Callithrix jacchus: one gene and its partners. Each later gene encodes a partner of the first gene's protein in a complex. Links are inferred from orthologs where the notes say so. Each region holds a gene or a part of one and is shown in the gene's direction. Other genes may lie near its edges.

Region 1 (3,649 bases):
GGCTCATTGCAACCTCCATCTCCTGAGTTCAAGTGATTCTCCCACCTTGGCCTCCCACGTAGCTGGGATTATAGGCACAAACCACCACACTCGGCTAATTTTTTTTTTTTTTTTTTTAAGGAGGGTGAGGACCCAGCCTGAGCAGCGGGGCCCACTCCCCAATTTTTTTGTATTTTTAGTAGAGAACAGGGTTTTACCATGTTGGCCGGGTTGGTCTCAAATTCCTGAGCTCAGATGGTTCACCCCCATTGACCTCCCAAAGTGCTGGGAATAGAAGTGTGAGCCACCGTGCCTGGCCAACATTTCATTCTTATCATTGGGAAAATTTGAAATCTGGTAATACCAAGCTTGGTCACTGTGCAGGGAAATAGGAACTCTATTTTTTTTATTTTTCAGTTCATTTTTTTTTTTTTTTTGAGATGGAGTCTCACTTTGCTGCCGAGACTGGAGTACGGTGGCTCGATCTCTACTCACTGCAACTTCTGCTTCCTCGGTGCAAGTGATTCTCATGCCTCAGCCTCACAGGGTAGCTAGGACTATGGGTGCACACCACTACACCTGGCTAATTTTTGTATTTTTTGTAGAGACTGGGTTTCACCATGTTAGCCAGGCTGGTCTTGAACTCTTGACCTCAATTGATCCGCCTGCCTCAGCCTCCCAAAGTTCTGGGATTACAGGCATGAGCCACCATGCTTAGCCAGGAACTTTATATTGCTAGTGTACATTGGTGAGAATAAAAATTGGCTTAACTACTTAATTAGGAAATTTGGTGGTATCTAGTATCATTGAAGGTACACATTCTCTGACTCCTCTTCTTGGAGTAACTTCTAAAGGAACTCCTGCACACATGTATAAGGATGATTTCATTACAATAGTTTTTTTGTTATCACGGAAAATTAGAAACAACCTAAATTTCCATGATTGGGGAGTGAATGCAAAAAGTCATTGTGTGTTCATATGAAATAATGTTTTTAGCAATTAAAGGGAATATATCTTATGTATCAACATTAATATCAGAAACTAAGTGTGAAAAAGCAAGATTCAGAATACCACTGAAGTATACCATTTATATAAAATGTAAAAATGTGTAATAAGTAATAAGATGTTGCTTATTGTTTATGCGTACATGTATATGTGTAGTAAGTATGAAAACCTGGGAAGGATTAAGACCAATTTTGGAATGGTGTTTATCTTTGGGAAAGAAAGGTGGGGGTGGGATTGGGGAGGAGTATAAAATGGGAATTTAGGCTTTTTTTTCCTTTTCTTTTTTTGAGAGGGAGTCTTGCACTGTCACCCGGGCTGGAGTGCAGTGGCGAGATCTTGGCTCACTGCAACCTCTGCCTCCCAGGTTCAAGCAATTGTCCTGCCTCAGACTCCCAAGTAGTTGGGATTACAGGTGCCTGCCACCACGCTCAGCTAATTTTTTGTATTTTCAGTAGAGACAAGGTTTCACCATGTTGGCCAGGCTGGTCTCGAATTCCTGACCTTATGATTCCCCCGCCTCGGCCTCCCAAAGTGTTGGTATTACAGGTGTGAGCCACCATGCCTGGCCTTGGCTGTTCTATAGTGTTTCTGGTTTTCAGAAAAAATCTGAAGTGGCCAGGGGAGGTGGCTCACACCTGTAATCACAGTGTTCTGGGAATTCAGGGTAGGAGGATCACACAAGCCCAGGTGTCTGCAGTCAGCTGTGATCTTGCCACTGAACTCCAACATGGGTGACAGAGTAAAACCCTATCTCTTACAAAAAAACTGAAGCAAAAATGACAAAATTTATTTACCATGTTAACATTTAAAACATCTGGCAGTGAACCAATGTGAATGTTGGTTATGATACTCTTGTTAATTTTGGTTTGTATTTTCAAATTCATAATTAACAAATACTTTAGGTAACCTAAAAAAATGATTGGGAGGATCAGAGGAATATACCAATCTGTAAGAAATGAAGCTAGTCAGAGACATGAGTTGTGATTTTATTTCACTGTCTAAAAGTAATATGCTTTAATGAAATAATATTGATTTACTTTTGAAAACTTGCTTTTATATACTTTACCTTTATGTAATTATGAAATGTCTTATTTTTTATCTTTAATACCAGCTTAATCGAATTTTTTAATAAAATGAAGAAATGGGAAGACATGGCAAATCTACCCCCACATTTCAGAGAACGTACTGAGAGATTAGAAAGAAACTTCACGGTTTCTGCTGTAATTTTTAAGAAATATGAACCCATTTTTCAGGACATTTTTAAATACCCTCAAGAGGAGCAACCTCGTCAGCAGCGAGGAAGGAAGCAGCGGTAGGTTTTCATGTTTGTTCGTCGGGAGTACACATTCATCACTGCTGCAGTTTTGATATTTTGCTAATTTGTTTGCTAGTTTAAAAAAATACTATTTAAATGATCTTTTTTCCAATAGTTTTCTTTTAATAATACTTTTTTGCTTTTCATTGTGGGTTAGCCATTACGAGTTTGGCTTTTTTCATATTGCTAAAAGTATAGGTGTCTTTGTTATTATAAATTTTCCTTTTTCTTATTTTATTTTATAATTATTTTTTCCTCAGTGATCCTTGTGATCCGTGTTCTGAAACCTTCCTTTTTCATTTAAACAACAAAAAATGCAGACTGCGCAAGTCAGATGTCAGGGATTTTCACCCTTTAGCTGCCCTGGAGATATATCTATATCTGTATCTAGATATATATTTTATTTATTGTACAGGGGCCATGGGAATCTCTGTATCATTCTAATTTTAGTACATGTGCTGACAAAATGTCAGCCCTAGATATAGATCGCTGTGTTGACCACTATATTTTCTTTTCTTTTTTTTTTTTTTTGAAACAGAGTCTTGCTCTGTTGCCCAGGCTGGAGTGAAGGGGCACAATCTCGGCTAACTGCAATCTCTGTCTCCCAGGTTCAAGCAATTCCCTGCCTCAGCCTCCTGAGTAGCTGAGATTACAGGTGCACACACCATGCCTGGTTAATTTTTGTATTTTTAGTAGAGACAGGGTTTCACCGTCTTGGCCAGGCTGGTCTTGAACTCCTTACCTTGTGATGCACTCGTCTCGGCCTCCTAAAGTGCTGGAATTACAGGCGTGAGCCACTGCACGCAGCCAACCACTATATTTTCTACTAGTGACTATATAGACTATTTTACTTTTATGTCAAAGTGAGTAATAAATAATCCCCTTGAAATAACTTCTGTATTTTGATGTTTATAGTGAATCAAGAATAGAGAGACTGGATTGGGAAAAGACAGGAGAACTGAAACTATTATGAAGGTGTGCTTCAGAAAGACTCAGTTCTGCAAAGTCTATAAGCAAACTCTGGCTCAGTGTTTACTACTGTTACTGATGGATAAAGGCAGTTATATTTTCCTTCTTTATCATTGGAAGTTTTTTCATAAAGTCAGAAATGAAAGTTTTTTCATAAACTTATTAGAAATGAAAATTCTAACAACTAGAAAAGTGTTGACAAGAAAAGCAAGGGGAAAGGAGTTAAAATTATTTGGCTAGAATAAATAATGTTTGCCGCTCTTTAAATATAAAAGTTTTCCCAGACTGTGAAGGATGTTTACAATAAATGTAACCTTTTAAAAATAAAATGGGGGAATGCCAAAGCAGGTGGAAAAACGTAAAAAAAAAAAAAAAAAAAGC
Region 2 (3,749 bases), on another chromosome or scaffold:
AAAATACAAAGAGCCACGCTTGGGGAAAATAGCTTGCAAATGGCTGCCTTTGGTGAATACCTGGAGTACACGTCTAGAAGGAGATTCAAAGTTCATACACTTACCCTCTCCCCTCACATCCCCTCTCCCCCTTACCTCGGATCAAGGAAAGTGAAGTAGGGTGGGGAAAGGGAGCAATGGCAACGTGGACGCTCACGGCAGGGAAAGAGTAATCAAAAAGAGTAGTTCTCGGGGGAGAGAGAGAAGGCTGGTGCAGAGGTGAAAAGGAAAGACGGTGGACGGATGGAGTGGTGAGGGCAAGAGAGTGACAGCAGGGACCGGGCAGGGCTGGAGGAGAGTGGGCGAGAGCCAGAAAAGAGGAGGCTCAGGAGTAAAAGGGTGTAAGGCCAAGAGTAACAGCTCGGGTGGGATCCGGGACGAGGTAGGGTATGAAGTGAGAGCTGCGCATGGGACAGGGCCGCACAGGTCGCGTAGGAACACGAGGTCCGGCCAAAAAGGGGCTGGGCCAAAAAGGTGGTCCCGCCCGAGGATGGTTCACGGAGTGGACGGAAAAGATCTAAGTCCTGGCTTCATGGTCCCTTGGCACCACCCTCACTCGCCTGCAGGATCCGGGCTCGCACTGCCGCCGCCGCCACCACCGCCGCCATGGCTCTCGGCCTCCCTAGCTCCGCACCCTGCGCCTCTACTGCTCAGAAGCACTACAGCTGCCAGGCCTCGCCCTCCATCCTGACTGGCTTCCTCATTGGTGGGTAGGACTATTTTTTCCAGCCAGTCACGCGAACCAACACCTGATTCCGCCCCTCACACGCCAGTCCTGTGAATAAGTGATTGGTCAGGAGCGAAAAAGGTCTCGCCCTCTCCCACTTCAGCCAATGCTGTTGGCGGAGGTAGAGAAGACGCCCCTGACTTGGACACTCCATACTGTGCACACGGGGAAGACGCCCCCTAACCCGGAACTCCGATTGGCCAAGGGCGCAACCGAGGCCCCGCCCTCTCACCGAGAAAAGTAAATAAGACCCTCCAAGAATTTTGCAGTCGCTCCACCTCAACAACTGCGCGAGGGGCGTGGCTATAATTAGGGGCGGGGATAGGCAAATGTTGCCCTATGAGGCGAGGGAATGAGACTAGGCTGTGAGTTGGGGATAGGGTTTCTCTTTGGGGGAGTGGCTTATGGATCCTCGTTTTCCCGCCGACGGTTGGCCATGTCACGTGACATGGGTTGGAAGATGGCGTCTCCCACAGACGGTAAGAGCCGGCTTGTAGATCTTTGCCTGCAGCCTCCTTCTTTGCTCTACCGGCAACGTCTACTCTGTCTCTGCCCCTCAAACATACATTTCTTTCTTGGGCTCTTCTCCTTTCCCTTTTACTTTTTTTCTTGAGATCCATCGCCGTCTTCAGCTCACTGGTTCTTCACAGCGGCTCCGGAGGTGCCCAGTTTCCCCGCTCTGTACCAGGCGTGTGGAGGAGGGCACCAGGGAGGGACTCACTTTGGGTAAAAGGACAGGGGGTTGCCCTGATCCTTCCTTGTCTCTATTTGGGTGAGGCTGAGAGCCTCGGAGGAGATGTTAGTGGAGGAAAGGACGTGCCTTAAACTAGTCTCCTCCTTGGAGTATCACACTGAGGGATCAGTTTTCTTCTGATTGAGCGCAGGGATGGAACGATTCTCACAAACTCTAGCAGTGGCTGCTGGCTGACCTCATCTCGATACTGAACCGCAAGAGAAACATGATCTCTCTCCTGTCTCTTGTTTGGGACCACTGCCGTGGCAGCAAGATAATCGGGGGACGTTCTCGGCCCCTCACCGTGAGAGTCGCGAGGAGAATGAGTATTGAGCTTTTAAGTGTTGTCTTGCACAGGTCGCAACCTCTTTTGCATCTGCTTTTTGTGTTGTTTCTTCAGGCTGAGTGAATGAACGATTTCTGTTTATGTATTGTAAAATGCAAGTCATTTCAAGTAACAATTAGGTTGTCTTGGTATATTCCTATGCTTTTGGTCTCGGTTCTGCTTTAGAGAGTTAGGGTCTTGCAGTCATTTTTAAACTCATTTTTGTTTCTGTCGTTCCCATCCCAACTATATATATCGATTTCATTGATATATAGGTTTCCCTCCCTTAGACAAACACATTTTGTATTTGGAAGGAATCTTGAAAGTTCATTACAGGAATGAGGAAATTGAAGCCAAGGTGAGCTTTATTAAGTACCTGCTACATGAAACGCATAATGCTAGGTGCTTTGAGATTCCAAAAGATTACTCAAACATATAAATATTTTTTTTTCAATTTCAGATCTTTTTTTAGATGTCACCTCCCAAAGAGTCTCTTAGAACACAGGATCTGGAGTCGCTCTTCCCCACCATTATTCATTATCTCAGTGTCTTCCTTGTCAGCATAGTAATTCTGTTAACTTTGCCCCTTTTATGCTAGATTATAAATTTCAAGTTTGTCTTGTTTATAGTTGGATCCCAGGGTTTAGCACAGTGCCTGGTGAACAGTAGGTCTTTAATTAGCATTTATTGAAAGATTGATTAGATATATGCAGAAATAATATATTACTTGATCTTAAGTTTTAAGATCTTGGGAGGCTGAGGCGGGCAGATTGCCTGAACTCAGGAGTTCAAGACCAACCTAGACAACATGATGAAGCCCAGTCTCTACAAAAAAAAAATACAAAAATTAGCTGGGCATGGTGCCACACACCTGTAATCCCAGCTACTTGGGGGGCTGAGGCAGGAGAATCTCTTGAGCCCTGGGGTGGAGGCTGCAGTGAACCATGTTCATGCCACTGCACCAGGCTGGGTGACAAAGCGAAACCCCCGTCTCAACAACAACAAAAAAGAAATTATGGATGTTTGGAGTCAAAAGAGAGTCTCCTGCCTGGGTGCTCTCTTGCTGAAATGTCCTTCTCTTGCCAGAAAGAAGGGCATTTAAAAAGCAAGGCGAGGGAATAGGGAGTTACTGTTAACAGGTACCAAATTTCAGTTTAGGTAGGTGAAAAACATTCTGGAAATGAATGTGCTGATGATTGCACAATTAATGTACTTAATACCACTGAACTGTATACTTAAAAGTTGTTAAAATGGTCAAATTTATGTATATTTCACCACAATTTAAAATAACAAAGCCAAGTGATAGAAGTAGAGGTAATTGTTATTAAATTTTTTAGTTTATTTTTAAATTGTTTTTACAGATTTGGGGGATTTTAAAGATGTGTTTCTTGAGTTGGATTTTTTCCCCTGTCTTCTCAATTTAGTTTCCTTTCTTTGGCCAGGAAGAGTATTAAAAACATTGTATGTTTTTCCTTTGGTCTTCTAGCCATCTTTATGGTCACTTTATTTGCACTCTTTATTTTTTAAGTTTTCATTCTTATCTCTTACAGAGTTTCACTCTTCTCCACCTAATCTTTTCTTTTTAATCTGACAAAATCAAGTCGAGCACTTTGAACTTAATTAAATTCATCTTCTAAATAAGTAACTCATTCTAAAATATTCCATGGCCTAGCTCTCTCACTTCTATTTTTAGTGTTCCACCTGTCACTGTCTTTAAAATTTAATTCAAACAATATTGATTTAAAAATGTTTTTTATTTACTCTTTTGTCTTTTTCATGCTAAATTTGCTGGAACTTCTTTGAAAAGGAGAAAACTGAAATTCAAATACAGCCATCTAATTACTTAATTTGTGAGAGTAAGACTCACAGCAGAGTTCTGTCCCAGATTGTGGTATCATAAGGTCACCGGTGTAGGTTATAGATCC
Region 3 (3,749 bases), about 13 Mb from region 1:
GGCTGAGACAGAAGAATTGCTTGAACCCAGGAGGCGGAGGTTGCAGTGAGCCGATTGTGCCCTTGCATTCCAGCCTGGGCAACAGAGTGAGAGACTCCGACTGAAAAACAAAAACAAAAGCAAACTAAAAATAAGCGAGCCAGATGTGGTGGTGCATGCCTGTGGTCCCAGCTACTTGGGAGGCTGGGGTGGGAGAATTGCTTAAGCCCAGGAAGCTGAGACTGCATTGATCCTGCCACTGCCCTCCAGCCTGGGCAACAAACAAATTCAGACCCTACCTCAAAAAACAGGTGTGGATCACCAACAAACTTGCTGCAAAATGAGTCCCATTTCCCAGAGAACCTGACCTGAAAGAAACAACAATGTTAAAAATAACAAAATGGCCGGGCGAGGTGGCTCACGCCTGTAATCCAAACACTTTGGCAGGCCAAGGTGGGTGGATCACCTGAGGTCAGGAGTTTGAGTGAGACCTGCCTGACTAACATGGAGAAATCGCATCTCGACTAAAAATACAAAATTAGCCAGGTGTGGTGGTGTGGGCTTGTAACCTAGCTACTTGGGAGGCTGAGGCAGGAGAATCGCTTCAACTCGGAAGGCAGAGGTTGCGATGAGCTGAGATTGTGCCATTGTGCTCCAGCCTGGGTGACGAGAGCGAAGATCCGTATCAAAAAAAAAAAAAAAAAAACTCTCTCTATAGATATACCCGTATATATATGTAAATTACATATATGTAAATATATATATATATATAAATAACAAAAATTAGCTGGGCTTGGTGGTGCGTGCCTATAGTACCAGCTACTCGGGAGGCTGAGGCAGAAGAATCACTTGAACCCGGGAGGGGAGGTTGCAGTGAGTCGATATTGCACCATTGCACTCCAGCCTGGTGACAGAGCGAGACTCCGTCTCTAAATAAATAGGAAAACAAACAAAAAAAAGGAACAGGTTTGAGGGAACAGATTGGGTTAGTTGGGTAGTGTGGTCTCCTCTCCCGAGATGGGTACTGCACAGAGTTGGTGATGTTGGGGCAAATTGGCAAGGAAAGTTCCGATGGCGCCCCTTTCTCTACTGCCAGGGCTGCCAACTGACATCCTCCTCATTCCTCCCCAACTTCATCCTCAACTCCCGGTATACCTAAGTAGTTTTCGTCTTATTAGGCGGCTGGACATTTGCTAATGGTCCCTAAACTTTTGCGGCTGCGCCTTCAGACAAAAATAGCGCCGCGTTCCCTAGAAGGGACATGCGGCGGAAGCGGAAGAAACGACTCTGGCTCCGGCGGCTAGGAGGGCAGGAACGGAAGCGGAAGTGGCGGCGGCGCCGGCCTGGCCTGGCTGAGGGGAGGCGGCGGGCGGGTGAGATGGCGGAGGCCGGGCCACAGGCGCCGCCGCCCCCGGGCACTCCAAGCCGGCACGAAAAGAGCCTGGGACTACTCACCACCAAGTTCGTGTCGCTTCTGCAGGAGGCCAAGGATGGCGTGCTTGACCTCAAGCTGGTGCGGCCCGGGCTAAGGGACGACAAGGCGGGGTGGTGGACAAGGCCTGAGCCGGTAGCGGGAACCCCGGGGGCGGCCAGGCCGGGTCCTCAGAGAGCTGGCCGCCATCGTGTGCTTTCTCACAGGAGAGAGGCCGGGGGATCTTTCATTCATTCAGCCGAGGCCATTGAGCGACAGCTATGGGCCAGGCTCGGGGCTGCAGGTGTTTGTCCTCGTGGCCCTTCCTGGCTGGCTGGGAGAAGAGCTTCAGAACACCAGTTCAGGGCTGTGCGCCAGGTCTCTTCTCACCCTGCGGTCCTGAGCTGCAGTAGCACCTGAGAGGCACTACAGGGTTGGAACCCAGGTTACTCCCTTCCCAGACCACGTCTCAGGGTGGCTGGGGGTACACCCGAGAGTGGAGCTGATCATTCTCTATTCTGTCTGCCAGGCAGCTGACACCCTAGCTGTACGCCAGAAGCGGCGGATTTATGACATTACCAATGTTTTGGAAGGTATCGGACTGATCGAGAAAAAGTCCAAGAACAGCATCCAGTGGAAGTGAGTGGGGATAGTGGGAGGGTAGTAGAGTCTCCCACCCAGAAGTGTCAGGGGTGTGGGGTGGAGGATGTGGAAGAAAGCAGGGGCCGTGGGACCCAGAGTTCTCAGCAGTTCCTCTTGGCCCCACTCCCTGGGCTCAGGGGTGTGGGGCCTGGCTGCAATACCCGGGAGATTGCCGACAAGCTGATTGAGCTCAAGGCAGAGATCGAGGAGCTGCAACAGCGGGAGCAAGAACTAGACCAGCACAAGGTGTGGGTGCAGCAGAGCATCCGGAATGTCACAGAGGACGTGCAGAACAGCTGATATCCTCCTGACGGTCTCTGCTGTGGCGAGTGGGCAAGGGGCCCTCTGGTTCAACTTGCCCTGAGCCCTCTCCCTCTTGGGAGCTTGTCCTGTAGCCCCTAGCCGTGTCCCAACCTCAGGCTCCCTCCTCAGAGCCCCTTCCCAGTCTTAGCCTGTGATCCCTCCCCAGGTGGACCCCAGTCCCCAGAACTTTCTCCGAGGGCCTATGTGTCAGACTTTGGCTAAAGAGTTGGGTCTTCTCTGTAGTCTGCCGTCTGTCACCATAGGGCCATTCTCCTTAACCCTCACACTTTGGCCTACGTCACTCATGAGGACATCTGCAGATGCTTTGCTGGTGAGCAGAGCCTGGGTAGGGACAAGGGGGTGGGCTGGGGCACTGGGCTCAGTGTCTCAGGAGACACTGTCTCTTGAGTGTCTCTCAAGAGGGTTTCTGGGGCCTGCTCAAAGAGGACCCAGGCAGGGTAAGTCTTCTGTCTGAGGGGCACTGGGACCCTGTGGAGGTCAGCTGTACTGAGAGGGTACAGGAATTTTGGAGTGAGTCCCTGGGTTTGTTCCCATATGCACTGTTACCTGGATTTGGCTTCTTGGGCATGACAGAGGCACAAGGGAGAAGAGGGGGAGAGAGGATATGTGTGTATTTGCTTGTGTGCAGACTCTTACGTGCTCGTATGCAGGGTATGGGGGTGCCCACTTCCAACCTGTTATTTACTTGTATTGTGAATACAGGATCTATTCCTTTTTCTTTTTTTAAAGAGACAAGGTCTCGCTATGTTGCCCAGGCTGGTCTTGAACTCCTGAGCTCAAGCTGTCTAACTGGCTTGAGCCCCTAAAGTGCTGGGATTATAGGCCTGAGCCACTGTGCCCTACAGATGTGTTTCTTCTCCATCTTGCATCCCCAAGGCTGGTCATGGGAAAGGGATGTTGGCCTTGGCTAGAACACCTTCACCTAGGGATCAGCCATTGGTGGAGTGAGGTGCCTGTGGCCAGTGATCTTTCACTCCACATACTTGAACTCAGATTTCCTGGTTACTGACCCTCAGAAAGAGAAGAGCTTTAGTTCTGCTCAGCCACTGTAGGGGATTGGTGAGACCCACTGACTAGCCCCTCAGAGACTATGATCTCCTGCCTTGCTCCAAAAGGCAGGCACCTCTGTTCCCAGCTCAGATTTAGCCTATGGGCTCTGACCCATTCTCTGTCATTCTAGGAGATACCCTCTTGGCCATCCGGGCCCCATCAGGCACCAGCCTGGAGGTGCCCATCCCAGAGGTGGGTGCTTAGCCTAGGCAGGCGGGGTCAGCTGAGGGCGGGTGCTGGCTGTGGAGTCTGATAAGTCCCGGGTGGGGCAGGTAGGGGGAGGCCTGGAGTTCGGGGTTATCTGGGAGGATGGGCAGCCTGGGTGGGAGAGGATACTGTGGTC

The links.
Region 2: RBL2 (region 1) and LIN52 share a complex: the UniProt entries of both Homo sapiens proteins name them as parts of the DREAM complex. The link is inferred for Callithrix jacchus from reciprocal best matches to the Homo sapiens genes RBL2 and LIN52.
Region 3: RBL2 (region 1) and E2F4 share a complex: the UniProt entries of both Homo sapiens proteins name them as parts of the DREAM complex. The link is inferred for Callithrix jacchus from reciprocal best matches to the Homo sapiens genes RBL2 and E2F4.

The regions. Positions count from the first base shown.
Region 1 is NC_133521.1:11,362,767-11,366,415, forward strand, and holds part of RBL2 (retinoblastoma-like protein 2), read left to right. Parts: intron 1-2,095; coding exon 2,096-2,296; intron 2,297-3,649. UniProt on the Homo sapiens protein: Key regulator of entry into cell division. Directly involved in heterochromatin formation by maintaining overall chromatin structure and, in particular, that of constitutive heterochromatin by stabilizing histone methylation.
Region 2 is NC_133509.1:109,031,390-109,035,138, forward strand, and holds the start of LIN52 (protein lin-52 homolog), read left to right. Parts: upstream 1-1,207; 5' UTR 1,208-1,214; coding exon 1,215-1,245; intron 1,246-3,749.
Region 3 is NC_133521.1:24,702,909-24,706,657, forward strand, and holds the start of E2F4 (transcription factor E2F4), read left to right. Parts: upstream 1-1,310; 5' UTR 1,311-1,357; coding exon 1,358-1,492; intron 1,493-1,919; coding exon 1,920-2,029; intron 2,030-2,169; coding exon 2,170-2,331; intron 2,332-2,622; coding exon 2,623-2,666; intron 2,667-3,536; coding exon 3,537-3,598; intron 3,599-3,749. UniProt on the Homo sapiens protein: Transcription activator that binds DNA cooperatively with DP proteins through the E2 recognition site, 5'-TTTC[CG]CGC-3' found in the promoter region of a number of genes whose products are involved in cell cycle regulation or in DNA replication.